Solanum lycopersicum: one gene and its partners. The main gene of each other region encodes a partner of the protein of the gene in region 2 in a complex. Links are inferred from orthologs where the notes say so. Each region holds a gene or a part of one and is shown on either strand. Other genes may lie near its edges.

Region 1 (4,224 bases), on a different chromosome or scaffold from region 2:
CGTACAAACTTAGAAATACAGAGCCTACAAACTGTTCATCGTGATACCTCTCAAAATGATTGAACATATCTGTATGATGGGATTCAAAGCGTTCAGCGAGGGTGATATTATCTGGATCAACTGCAACAAGGGTTTCAGGATTGTTTTAGAGATGGGCACAACAAGACAAAACTGGAAAACAAAGTAGCATTGACTAGGATATAGTTATATATTCTATTGTGATGGTGAAAGTAGCATAATCTATGCTGATTGTGGGATCTAGGTGTACCTTGATGCAAGTCCTTAGCAGGTTCCTCCTGTGCATTGGGTTTATCATAGAGATCAGCATTATCTAGTCTCTGCACATTGAACATCCGCAAGTTTAGCTGCACTCTCATGTAGTGATCTGATTTTCACTAAGATTTCCTGCTCTTATCCAAGTGGTATCAGATAAGATTGCCTACTCAACAAGGTCATGAACACTGAGAAAACCCAAGAGTGGAAATAACATAGAACAAGCTACAAAACATATAGAGTAACCAAAAGGCGAAGGGAAATCAAACAACTTTATCATTGTTAACTTTCTATTGTTGAGCTTGCAGACTTGCTGAATAATGAAATATGACTTATTTAACAATCTAAAGCAAGCTCAATAGTTTTAATTAGATCAGTTCGAACAAATTCCTAATTTTCCTAACAATTTTTGTTTCTGCTTTTGAAGTTATTTCGTGGATTGAGGAGGTGACAGAGCTTTCCATAATGTACCATCGTGAAATAGGAGGTTTGTTCGAAATCCATCATTGTGACTGTGTCTGGATTCCGTAATGTCTGTTCAATCTCTGGGAGTTCTTCCTCCCGATTCTCTGGCAGAGTAATAGCTGCATACCTACAGGAATTGAAATGAGGAATGAAAATTCATCAACATTAGGAAAAACAATCACAGGAATCAGAATTTAATGTTTACAACCAATTCATCGCTAAACTAGGTATTTTTAAGTACAAAGACCTTAGGTATAAAGGACTCACAGCATAAGCAGGCCTTAAATAACTCATTGATGAAACTGACCCAAACATTGAGTGAAAGAAATCATAATAAATTGAGTTAATCATTTCAACTAATTGGTGGCAGTCATACTTTAGTTGTTAATTTACTGAAGCACTATTGAGGTAACTGAAAGTATTAGAAGTTGTTAAAAGTCGGCCTTACAATCTCTGCTTCTCGGCAAAATACTGTGACGTCGAATTGGAGATGAGTTACTCACTTGGCTTGCGATTTACCCTTGGGAAGTAACGTAGGATCGGTAGCTGCTTTGACTTTCCAAGCTTCATTGATTTGCACCTGAAAGTACCCAATCATAAATGCGGAATTTAATGAAAACAGAGCAAAGAAAGAGATTAATTTGATTAGGATCGAAGACAAATGTTACTACCATGAGACGAGTCACATCCTCTGCATTAAAGAAAACATAAAGAAAAAAAAATGAAGAAATAAGGAAGGGTAAAGTAGGAGTAGAATTCAAAGAATTAACGTGAAATTCAAATTGAAATGATGAAGTCATCATGGCAATTCATACCGTATAGGAGTTTCACTTTGTGTTCGTAAACAATGACTACTCCACCTGAAACAGAACTGTCGATTAGATATCTAAATCAAAAGCAGCAATTGCGGACAGTCAGTGGTTTTCGAAGCATACCCATGAGAATTCCAGAAAGCCTCAGAGCCATCGGGACTGATGGATTTAAGATTTGTTCACTTGACAAAAGAAATTGCAGAAGACGAATACTCAAAATCAACAAGGAATTAAGGCATTTCAACGTAGTAGTAGAAGAAAACGCCTCACCAGATGTTAATAATATTGAGTTTACTAAGCTTTTTCCTATTGAGTTTTGAGTGCAGAGTGGCCGCCATCCTTCACAGCAAAGAGAAAGATCATAAACAATTTCAATTTAAGCATTCTTCGTAGCCAAATTGAAATATGAGAACTTAACATATACACAAAATCCTATGAAGTAACTTCAACGAATACAGAACATTAGACACAGAAAGCAAATGACGAAAAGAGGATCCACTACAGGGATTGCGATATATGAAAGTTAAAAAACGCAGAAACACAAAACATGCAACTTATCTATATGTATTAAACAAATTTAGAATAGAAAATCAAAACAAAAGCCGTAGTAAACTGGATCAATACCTTCATAAAACAATTTTGAATTCAAGCATTTTCTGAACAGAAACAGATCCAATTTTAACAGTGACAACTTAACATATAACTCATAACTTCAGATTACGAGAAATAGGTTGAAGAAGCTACTGAATATCATTAACCAGCGACCAAAGAAGAACGACAATCTAGCTCAGGATATACAACATATGCAAGTAAAAAATCAGAAACTCCAAAAATGTAGCGTATGCATATGAACATAACGAATTTCGAAAGGAAAAAATTGAAATGACAAGTAGTAATCGACAATTTTCACCATATTTGGCCGAGCGGAGCTTTGCGAGCAAGAAGCTGATGAGAGTAGAACATATTGCCGTCGTGAAGAAGGAAATTTCAGCACTGATTTTGCAGAGTACTTGAAGCTAGAAGGTTTTGTATATATAGTTGGAGAGAGAGAGGGAGATCATATGCAAAGTGAGAAAGGTGAAAGTGTGTGTGTTTTGTGCCTGTGCGTCTGTATATACTGTAGAGTATACCCGCCATAACAGAAGCGATTGCGATTGCATTTTGCAGAGTATATTGTGGGGACCGCACCCTATTGCAGAATGAATGTTTGATGAACTCAAGTCACAGCTCAAGTGAATGGAATTTTTGTGCTATCGTTCCTGAATGGCTTCCACGTGTCCCCTACTATTCTTGTTCAAGAGGCTTAATTTAATGGCCCAATCATCGATAGCCCTTAAAGTTGTCCGCATAATTCATTTAGACACCTCAACTGAGACTCTTATCAATTAGACATTTTAATATTAATAAATATTTACCTATCAAACATAAAATAATAATTATCTTTACAAATATTGTGCGTGTAATGCACACTCCTTATTTTGACAAAAATTACGAATAGAACTACGACACGTGGCATATGGGCCCATAATTTTAATTTTAAAAGATAAAGAATATTTTCCTTCCTTTAATAATATATAAAAAATTAAATTGATAAAAAAAAAAATCTTTCTCCCCACCCTAACCCCCACCCCATCTAACTTACTACCCTTTTTTCTTCATCTTCTTCTCTTCTTCTTCTCTGTTGTTCCACAATCACCATTTCTTTTCATAACAAAAAAAAATGCCTAACCCCATCTCATTCCGAATTCATCCACCAAATGTTGTCCTCTTTCATTTTCTTCGTTATATGCTATTTCTCAAATGGTCCATTTTTTCTTCTTCTTGAAAATTCAACAGGTACTTTATTTACATAAAATGAAAAAAAAAATGAATCATAACAAAAGACAGAGAAATTTGAAGTTTTTAAAATGGTGGGTTGATGCTTTCACCGATTTTGAACAATCTTCATTTTTCTTCAAATTATCGTCCTTGTGAAGAGAAATTCGAACTTCGAACTTCGGATACAGAAGTGACGGTGGCGGTGGGCAGCAGAAACAGAGGCTGCTAAGAGAAGTGATTTTTTCATGTTGTTTTTGGATGGAAAAATAAGGGATTTTGGGGGAATTGAATGGATGGTAGTTTAAATGGTGGGTTGAAGGAAGATGAGTGTGGGGTTTTTTTTTTTTAATGATTTAAAAGATTTATGTTTAATTAAATTATTTTTTTATATATATTTAGTCAATGCATGCCAAGCGTCAACAAAGTAGGTATTAATATTTTTAAAAAAAATTAAAAAAAAGTATTCACGCGCTCAGCAGCAGTGAAATACACTTATTTTGTCACATCAGCGTTTTGTGTTTAATAGGCACATTTCTTGATAATTTAGGTGTTCAATAGGTATAAGTCCTAGTTCAGGTGTCTAAGTGAATTATGTGGACAACTTTAAGGGGCTGCAGATGACTTAGGCCTAATTTAATTGTTACAAATAAAAAGTTAGAAGTGATTACACTGAACCAGAAAAGAACCCATTAAACATGACTATGAAAATGTTAGTAAAGTCTAAAGCACGAAAAAGCCATCCTTCATAAAAATAAAGGAAAATAATAATATTATTATTATTATTTATTTATTATATTATTATATTATTTTCAGTATAATTCTTTTTATAAATTAAATTGTTATAAAATATTTAAAT
Region 2 (4,143 bases):
CAAGTATCATCAGAAACTTGAACCAGTTTGATCCATCAAATAACTTCTTCAAATTAAACACAGCACCACTAACACTGTCCAGTACTTGTTCAAAGAAAAGCAGTTACGTGAATTCGTGAATCCATGATGTATCTTGACAAGTACAAATTCCACTAACCACTTTGCAGATAATAATTTAAAATCAATCAACTGATTCGATGTGCTACACCAATCCTAAGGTTCTAACAACATATAGCAAAGAGTTTAACATAAACTATGAGATATTCAGGGAAAACAGTAGTATATCTTGCTAAGCAGTGATAGTGGTATTAAGTGAACACAAAGCAGAAAGTGATTTATGCTGCCTTCTTTTGTTGGAAAAGTTTCAAAGGCCGAGACATGCTGTTAACAAAACAAACCAAAGAAATGATTATACTTCATAAAATGACTACCTTGCAAGATGAGCCAAAAACTAAATTTTCCTGAGCATCTGAAACAAAAAGCAGAAACTCTCTTTTAAAAAAAGTAAGTGACATAAAGCCGAAAAAAGTAACCATGAATTAAAAGACAACAGAAATGTACTGTACCGGAAAGCGTGATTTCTTCACGGGATGCGAAATGACTACTTCAAAACAGTTTGTTGCAAACCAAGATTGAAATAATTAAACCCCAAACCGACAATCAGAAAAAACACAAGGAGAAAGAGAAAGGAAAACATACAAATTAACATGGAAAACCACGTCATTCATGGAAAGTATTTATTTTACCTGTTTGCGTCTTGATCTTCCAAGACTTCCAGATCAAAAGTATCCAGTTCAAATTTCTTTGGTCGGGTGATAGAGTGGACAGGAGCATGCATACCCGCGATCCTTACAACTGATGGTTTACTAGTTGGTCTATTGCGAGTTGAAAAATCAGCAAGGTTAACAAGAACATTATTACAGTCTTTGAAAAGATACTCCACTTTTTTCGAATATATTCTAACCACACCCAGGAGCAGGTGACCTAAAATTCTGTATGTGACCACAGGAGCTTCATCATGCAGAATTTTCTCTGAGCAAAGGAAAAACCAGTAAAGCAAATCTAAATCACTCAAGAAATGATTAAAATTCTTAATGCTACTTTTATGTGCATCGTGCTGCAATTAAAAAAACAGAATCAAACAGTGTCAAGAATCTGAAATAAAAAAGATCCCAAGACAATAATCACATTCATTACGTATATACACAGCAATTCATAAACATGTGAACGTAATCAAGATTGCAAACAACAACAACATGCCCGATGTAATTCCACAAGTGGCGTCTGCAAAGGATGGTGCATATGCATCCTTACCCCTACCTTACGGAGGCAGAGAGGTTTCCGATAACCCCGCCAAAAACAGTTACCTAGATCATCCAGGGAATTCACAGAGACAGCATTTAACACCACCTATAATCACCCAAGTTTGCAGCAAAGGTTCACAATCCAACATAAAGCCAGAAACCATTTTCCGTGGCTCGGAAGACATGCTAATTTCCAAGTAATTAATATTTTACACTGAGTCTTGTGAATTCCATGTTACAACTATAGCATTTGTTACAGCTAACACTAGAAGTTGCAAACTAAGTGAAATTTCCAAAAAAAAAAAAATGTCAGTCACACATGAACCTATTTCACCTTCATGACCAAAACCCCGATTCTATTCTGTGATCAAATCACATTCTTCCATTCATTAGTTTACCCACGAGGTTCAACGAGAAGCTGAGCACCACAATATTCTTTCTTCTCATGGGGGGCATTCTACTAGGAAAGAAGATTCCTATAAGTGGTAGTACTTAATTGGGGCATTGTGGTAAAATTATTTGCCGAGAGAGGTCTCTAATGACCCAACGACTTTCCGATGTGATTGACAAGCAGTGGTTTACGAAAAATCTAGTTTAAAAATGTATGGTTTTAGCACTCAATTTGAGCACAACTGTTCAGCCATCCAACTATATGTGAAAAATAGAAGGCTATAGTTGATGTAGGGATGACATCTAACACAATGGAGACAAAAGGTAACTAGTAGCTGCAATTTGGGACAAAAATAAACTATATGAACTGTGCATGCGAGAGCTATGTAAAGAAATCCGCCAAACTCATGTCAGCAGCACGTCTCTTTTTACTAGTAAGTCAACAGAACACTAAATTCCAATAAATAACACTGTGGTTAAATTAGAAATCAGGGTTCTCTAAAGGGTAAAGAAACAACCTCTCACTCTGTCTTAATGTATGAAGAAAATAAATACAAATAGAAAAGAGGTTAGGAGAAAAGCGTTTACAGGAGAAGAAGAAAGATAAAAAAACACCATCTTAATTAAAAAGACTACTTTTTGTTCTTGTAATAAGTCTCCATCAAAGATGAAGAAAGGGGTAAACAAAAAAACAGGAAAACGGAAAACGCACCGACAGAAGAAACGATGTTTGTCTGCTGGACTTGGTCTTTCTTGAGACGTTTATGACAATGAGCAGCAATCCAAATGGTGCCTAAAGGCCCCTTCTTTGAAAGAAGTAACTGTGAATAAAACATCTTCTTTCTCTCTTTACCTATCTTTGTTTTTGTACAAGAGAGAGACAAAAATGCCTCACTCTACTTACAAATTTTTTCTATGTATGAGATGAACCAAAGTGTAGGCTCTGCATTCAACTGCTAGCCCTTTGAGAAGAGGGAGTGGATTGTCAAACAAGTCTCACAATTTTTTAATTTTCGAAATGTGTTTCTCCGTTTTTGGAATGTACGACCAAATAAACCCCTATCTCACCATAAAATAACACTAATGACCAAATAAATATAACTTTCTATTGAGAGCTCATGTAACTGATTAGGCATACTTGGGAACTAGTAATTAATATTTCATGCTTCTGACTGTAGATGTAGAAGCATTTTTTTAATAATGTAATTAAAAAAAAAATAGGATTTCTACTTTCTAGAAATAGCGTATTTATTTATATTATTAGCTTAGGAACAAGCAATTAAAATTTGGAGACAAATCAAATATGGTTTGTTCTTGCATTCAATTAAAAGTTATTCTTTTTTTTTTTCCGTAGTCTCATATATTTACAGTAAAAAAAGTTTTTTTTTTTAAAAGACACGTTTGTTCTTATCGATTTTATGGGGTTCCTCACAAACGGTAACTTGTGTATGTACTTTGAGTGCAATACGTGTCATTTCGACACACCCCTATCACCCACGGCCATTGTCAATTCCTAATGCTTTTCCAGAATCATTAACCAATTATTATTTTAATGTTATCATTTGGTTAATGTAATTTTATCTATCATATCATATATTATTATAACTGGGAATAAAAAAAATTAAAAGTTAAGGTTACGATTTTATCTTTATTATAAATTAAAAAAATATTAGGAAAAAATCAAATTACCGTTTTACTCCTATATTTAATTAAAATGTTATAAACTATTAATAAATTAAATATTAAATAATAACTATATCATATTGTTTCATAAGTTTTTTGGCTTTTGATTTTCTTCCTAATCTAAATTACTCTCCCATTACCTATAATTGTTCACTTCTATTATTAAAGAGGGCGAATGAAGAGTTGTACGGTATTGATTATGACTTTATGAGAGAAATGCACAACTATCAAATAAATCTTTCATTTCACTCTAAATACATTAGTTGATCAATAATCACTTTCATTATCTTTGCGGAGGTTAAAATTCATCTTTTCACAATGTTAACCTTCTAATAAACATAGTAAGTAGCTAATACATGTTCATGTTTTGATAAATTCTCTTTTGATATTTGATTTATAGGCAATTATTGAAGGAATTCAACGCGTTTTCACTGATTTACATACTTTGGGTAAGTGAGATGAAAATTTTCTTCTTCCTTTCTTTGTCATTTCACTTAATTATGTTAATTATATAAATTGATCATTGAAAAGGTGCATTTATGTCTCTGTCGTTAAATTTATTCTGTTTACTTTATAAGAACTCAGTTTTTCCGGTTTCATATCATACCTAGCTAGCTACAATATTTGGAAGAAAATCATTTTAGATAATAATGATGGTCATATTTAAATGGCTTAAGTCATCGATAACCACTTAAAGTTGTCTGCAAATTTCACTTAAACACCTCTTCTTAGGCTTGTTCCAATTGAATCCCGTACTAATAAAAAA
Region 3 (4,151 bases), on a different chromosome or scaffold from region 2:
TTTGACAAACTCTTCACTATGTCCTGTAAAAACAAACTCTTTGTCAAACTAGTGTTGCAACTTAAGTGAATAAATCGAAACTTCGCTGCTAATTATGAAGCAAAAGATTTACCCACCTCATCAATGAAAATAGCAACATACTGATCTTCATGCGATACAACTTGATCTATACATGGAAAATTTCAGAAATGAAAGTTCAATTGAAAATGAAACAGAAAAAGATACAAAAAAGAAGAGTTAAAGTAAACATGATACATACCTTCCAAAGTTATCTCTTCGTAACTTTTAACATGAGTATCCTTAATCCTGGAATTCCAAATGCACGTATAACTAACTACAGATTCAAGATGACAACTAAAAAAGTACTACAGATACTTACCTATTCAGGTCAAGATCTTCATCAAAAACGACGGCATCAAGTTCAAATGTTTCTGGTAAAGTGATGGAGCTGTATGGTGCATGAGTGGCATCTTCTGGGAGATTGACATTTGTAGACGAGAAGGCCTTTATAACTCCCATTAGTAGTGTTTTGCAGTCCTCGGAAAAGTATTCAACCTGCTTCGAGTATATCCGAACAACTCCAAGTAGAAGATGGCCAGATGTTCGCAGTGCAATAGGTACTTCAGGAGTCATGATGCGCTCTACAAATAGATTTCAAAAAAAAAAAAAAGGAACAGTATCATCAGCAAAAAAAAAAACATCATATGCATATCAAAGCTACTGCTATGTACTTGTGTAGAGCAACTTATACATCCTTTCTGGCTTATACGCACCTTGATTGTTCCACGGAGTACCCAAGAAAGCATCAAAGACTAACTAATTAAAACAAAGTACATTTGGCATATACCAGAAAAAACACATCATTTGTACCACTGAAAGTTTAAGGTTAAATATGTTCAAGATTTAGTGTCCAGCATAAGATAAATCTGCAACATTCCTAAATAATATGACATAATAAAAAGGTAAAGAAAAATCCCATCTTGCCCCTAAATGATTCAAAAGGGGATCCTCTTTGCCCTCCGTTAGTTTTGGCACAAAAATACCCTTATCGTCAATCAAGTAGCTAAAAAATGTCCTCATAGTTAGCCAAGTAGCTCAAAAATAACCTCCCACTAACTATTGCTTTAGCTCAAATGGAAAAAGGGCTAATTGAGCCCTAAACTATATGAAATGGGACAATTACGTCTTTCTTTCTCTATAGCTCAGTCAATATCAAGCAAAAAATTGTTTTAATGATTGGTATTGTTATTTGCATTATGTTCAAATTCTAAGAACATACTTATGTACTTGACTTGTCCAACCCCTTCCCGTTACACCCTGAAAGCTTCCCTATAAATGCCATCTTATCTTTATTATATTCTATCACTTATCGAGAAATGGAAACGGGCCAATTTTTGAGCTATTCGGTTATTGATAAAGGCATTTTTGTGCCCAACACGAAACAAAGAACACAGTTACATTTCAAATAATTTAGAAGCAAATTGGATCCTTTCCCCAAATAAAGTCATGGGTAGAATCATCTAAACTTCAAATCTTTAATCTCTTTCAAGAGAAAGATTCAGAGTTCACTTTTATCATACAAAAGATTCCAATGGACCTTATTTTATTTGTGTGATGAACAAATTTGTTCTCTCCTTCTTACCTAAGAACTTAAGAGTTGATGTAGTGTCTAAGTTCAAGTTCCAATTTTTTATGCTTAGAGTTAAAGTAGTCCAGTCTCCTTCAATATATTAATTTTTTTCACAGCTAAAAAACAGCCCATCATGTCCTCCTTCCCCCTATTCAATCATTATCATATGTATGGGACATGCATATCTTCAGACAATTTTACCGCTTAAATTTCAAGAATGAAAGTTCCTCATTTTTTGACCTCCTTAAAATGATCAATGAATAACTAACACAGGTGACAATACATTGTACATAAGCACAGACTAGTCCAAGAGTTCAACTATCATGATTAGAACAGAAGAAAATGTCTCCACTAAATTAGAAATCAATTCATCTTTGCAAATGATAAAAACCTCCGTATCAAACCAAATTTCAATACTTCAATCAAAAATGCAATCTTTAATGTAAAAAAATAAATCTTCATCTCACAGAAAGATCCTAATTGATATCAGCAAAACAAGAACTGAATAATAAACTAATTATCAAGCAACAAAAATAACATTAGATACATAAAATTACATTCAATCAACACTCAGCAACAATGACTCGAATTAAAAAAAAAAACATTTCAATCTAACCCTTTAACTAGCATTACTATAACAGAGAGAAAATCTTGAAGTACAAATACTTATATAAAAACTTCCAAGCTGAATTAAAAAGATTCACAAGAGCAAATCTTTATCTCACGAAACCCCCAACTAACAGCAAAACAAGAATCGTATGTCAACCAAGCGAAATTAGCAAAATCATTTTTTTTCTTTTTTCAAATCCCAAGAAAGAAACAAAACAAAAAAAAAAGCAATCCATTGAAATAAAATATAAATCTTGGCAATGGGGCAAATAAAAAGGGACCCTTTTTTTCAAGAAAAAAAAAAGACATTAGAAAACCTACCAACAGTAGATGGAATGTTAGTAGAAGTATAATGAGGCTTCTTCAACTTGTGTTGCAAGTGTGCAGCGCACCATACAGTCCCTAATGGACCCTTCCGAGCCAAGAATGTGTGCGAATAAAACATTTCTCCGTCAACAAATTAACAACCAAGAACGGCGATTGATGGCGATTGGCGGCGATTAATGGTGATTGGCGGCGAACGGCGGCGACCCTTTTCAGTTCAGAGGATTCTCCAATGACCTAATTCTCTTCGGCTCCTCAGTTCTGTGTGTATAGTTAATTGGGGTTTTATGTTCGAAATTTTTGAGGTTCTGAGACAGAAACCGCGGGAGAAAGTGGCGCCAATGCGGCAATAAAATAACTTGACGCTTTGTGTTTCCTTAAAAGGGCCGACTGGTTTTGGTTATTTACGCAGATGCCACTTCTGTTTAATCGCGTTAATTAAAAGGGTAAAATGATATAAATTCACATTTGAATTTGTTTCGAAAAGTAAGTTACACTTTTAAATTATTATATACCTCTGCTACTAAATAATGAACTTTTTTATCTATGAGACGTATAGTACTACTCTCAAAAATGTATCACACTTGGATCACATCAGTGTTATATCGCTGCCATATCAAATGTCATGGCAAAATTTAACTAAAATCCTCCATATAACAATTGTTTCTTCTTTGATGAACACCACCATGAAATCACTATTGTTGCCACCATAAAATATATAAATTTGGTAGTAAAATATATAAATGTGAGGGTAAATTTATGTATTTTCTCTTAATTAAATGACACTGTTTAGATTAGAAAGAATTGTGTGATCAAACAAATATATATTGGTTAATTAGTTATTATGACTTTAGTTCTAGTTAATTATCACTTGTGTCCAATATTCAGTAATAGTTACATGGGGTGGGGTTTCGAGTTTGTATGAAATCAATTTTTTTATAACTTTTATATAATATAATTTGTATATTTGTTTAAAGTTCAAATGTTTGTATTTGTATAAATTTGTTATTTTGAATTTATACAAAAATAGCTCGATTTAAAAAACATACCTCCAAATTATACAATCTTATAGCTACAACTCGTAAATATGTAAATTATAGCTATGAAGCATAATTATTTTTTTTTAACCCCAAGATAACCCGCAATTGTTGCAACCTTTGTCATAGGCTCTAGCCTTCGTGTGAGCACTTTGTGCGCACTATGTAAACCCTCATTGTGTAATAGACTGCAAACCAGACAACATAATTAAGTTTATTATAGTAGTTTTTTGCGAAAGTTCCCCAAATAAAGGTGAATATTAGTGGATTTTTTTACTTCCTACGAAGGAAAAAAAAGGAACGTGGGAATATTAAAGTTATAATACATAATTGTGTGTTCTATCATCTATGTAACAATTTATATGAGATATAATCAATGTGATTTGTAAGATGTCATATATGATTTACGTATTTGTTGATGTATTAGTGGTAAATGACCTGCATGTATCATAATTTTGTATCTGTTATTATGATGTGATCATTACTTTGTATTCGGATATGATTTGAGTAAAAATATATCATCATGATATATTATATATGATACATGTAAT

Evidence for each region.
Region 1: sister chromatid cohesion 1 protein 2 (region 2) and sister chromatid cohesion 1 protein 1 share a complex: the UniProt entries of both Arabidopsis thaliana proteins name them as parts of the cohesin complex. The link is inferred for Solanum lycopersicum from reciprocal best matches to the Arabidopsis thaliana genes SYN2 and SYN1.
Region 3: sister chromatid cohesion 1 protein 2 (region 2) and sister chromatid cohesion 1 protein 3 share a complex: the UniProt entries of both Arabidopsis thaliana proteins name them as parts of the cohesin complex. The link is inferred for Solanum lycopersicum from reciprocal best matches to the Arabidopsis thaliana genes SYN2 and SYN3.

The regions. Positions count from the first base shown.
Region 1 is NC_090805.1:48,875,453-48,879,676, reverse strand, and holds the start of sister chromatid cohesion 1 protein 1, read right to left. Parts: upstream 2,946-4,224; 5' UTR 2,514-2,945; coding exon 2,461-2,513; intron 1,890-2,460; coding exon 1,821-1,889; intron 1,733-1,820; coding exon 1,674-1,732; intron 1,599-1,673; coding exon 1,554-1,598; intron 1,430-1,553; coding exon 1,410-1,429; intron 1,319-1,409; coding exon 1,242-1,318; intron 866-1,241; coding exon 745-865; intron 339-744; coding exon 269-338; intron 121-268; coding exon 48-120; intron 1-47. UniProt on the Arabidopsis thaliana protein: Involved in chromosome condensation, pairing and segregation during meiosis. Responsible for cohesion between replicated sister chromatids.
Region 2 is NC_090801.1:70,969,784-70,973,926, forward strand, and holds the start of sister chromatid cohesion 1 protein 2, read right to left. Parts: upstream 2,907-4,143; 5' UTR 2,531-2,906; coding exon 2,407-2,530; intron 1,924-2,406; exon of another isoform or gene 1,639-1,923; intron 1,033-1,638; coding exon 747-1,032; intron 605-746; coding exon 567-604; intron 470-566; coding exon 432-469; intron 1-431. UniProt on the Arabidopsis thaliana protein: May be involved in sister chromatid cohesion during mitosis.
Region 3 is NC_090800.1:77,428,479-77,432,629, forward strand, and holds the start of sister chromatid cohesion 1 protein 3, read right to left. Parts: upstream 2,912-4,151; 5' UTR 2,685-2,911; coding exon 2,561-2,684; intron 642-2,560; coding exon 380-641; intron 307-379; coding exon 260-306; intron 167-259; coding exon 117-166; intron 24-116; coding exon 1-23. UniProt on the Arabidopsis thaliana protein: May be involved in sister chromatid cohesion during mitosis.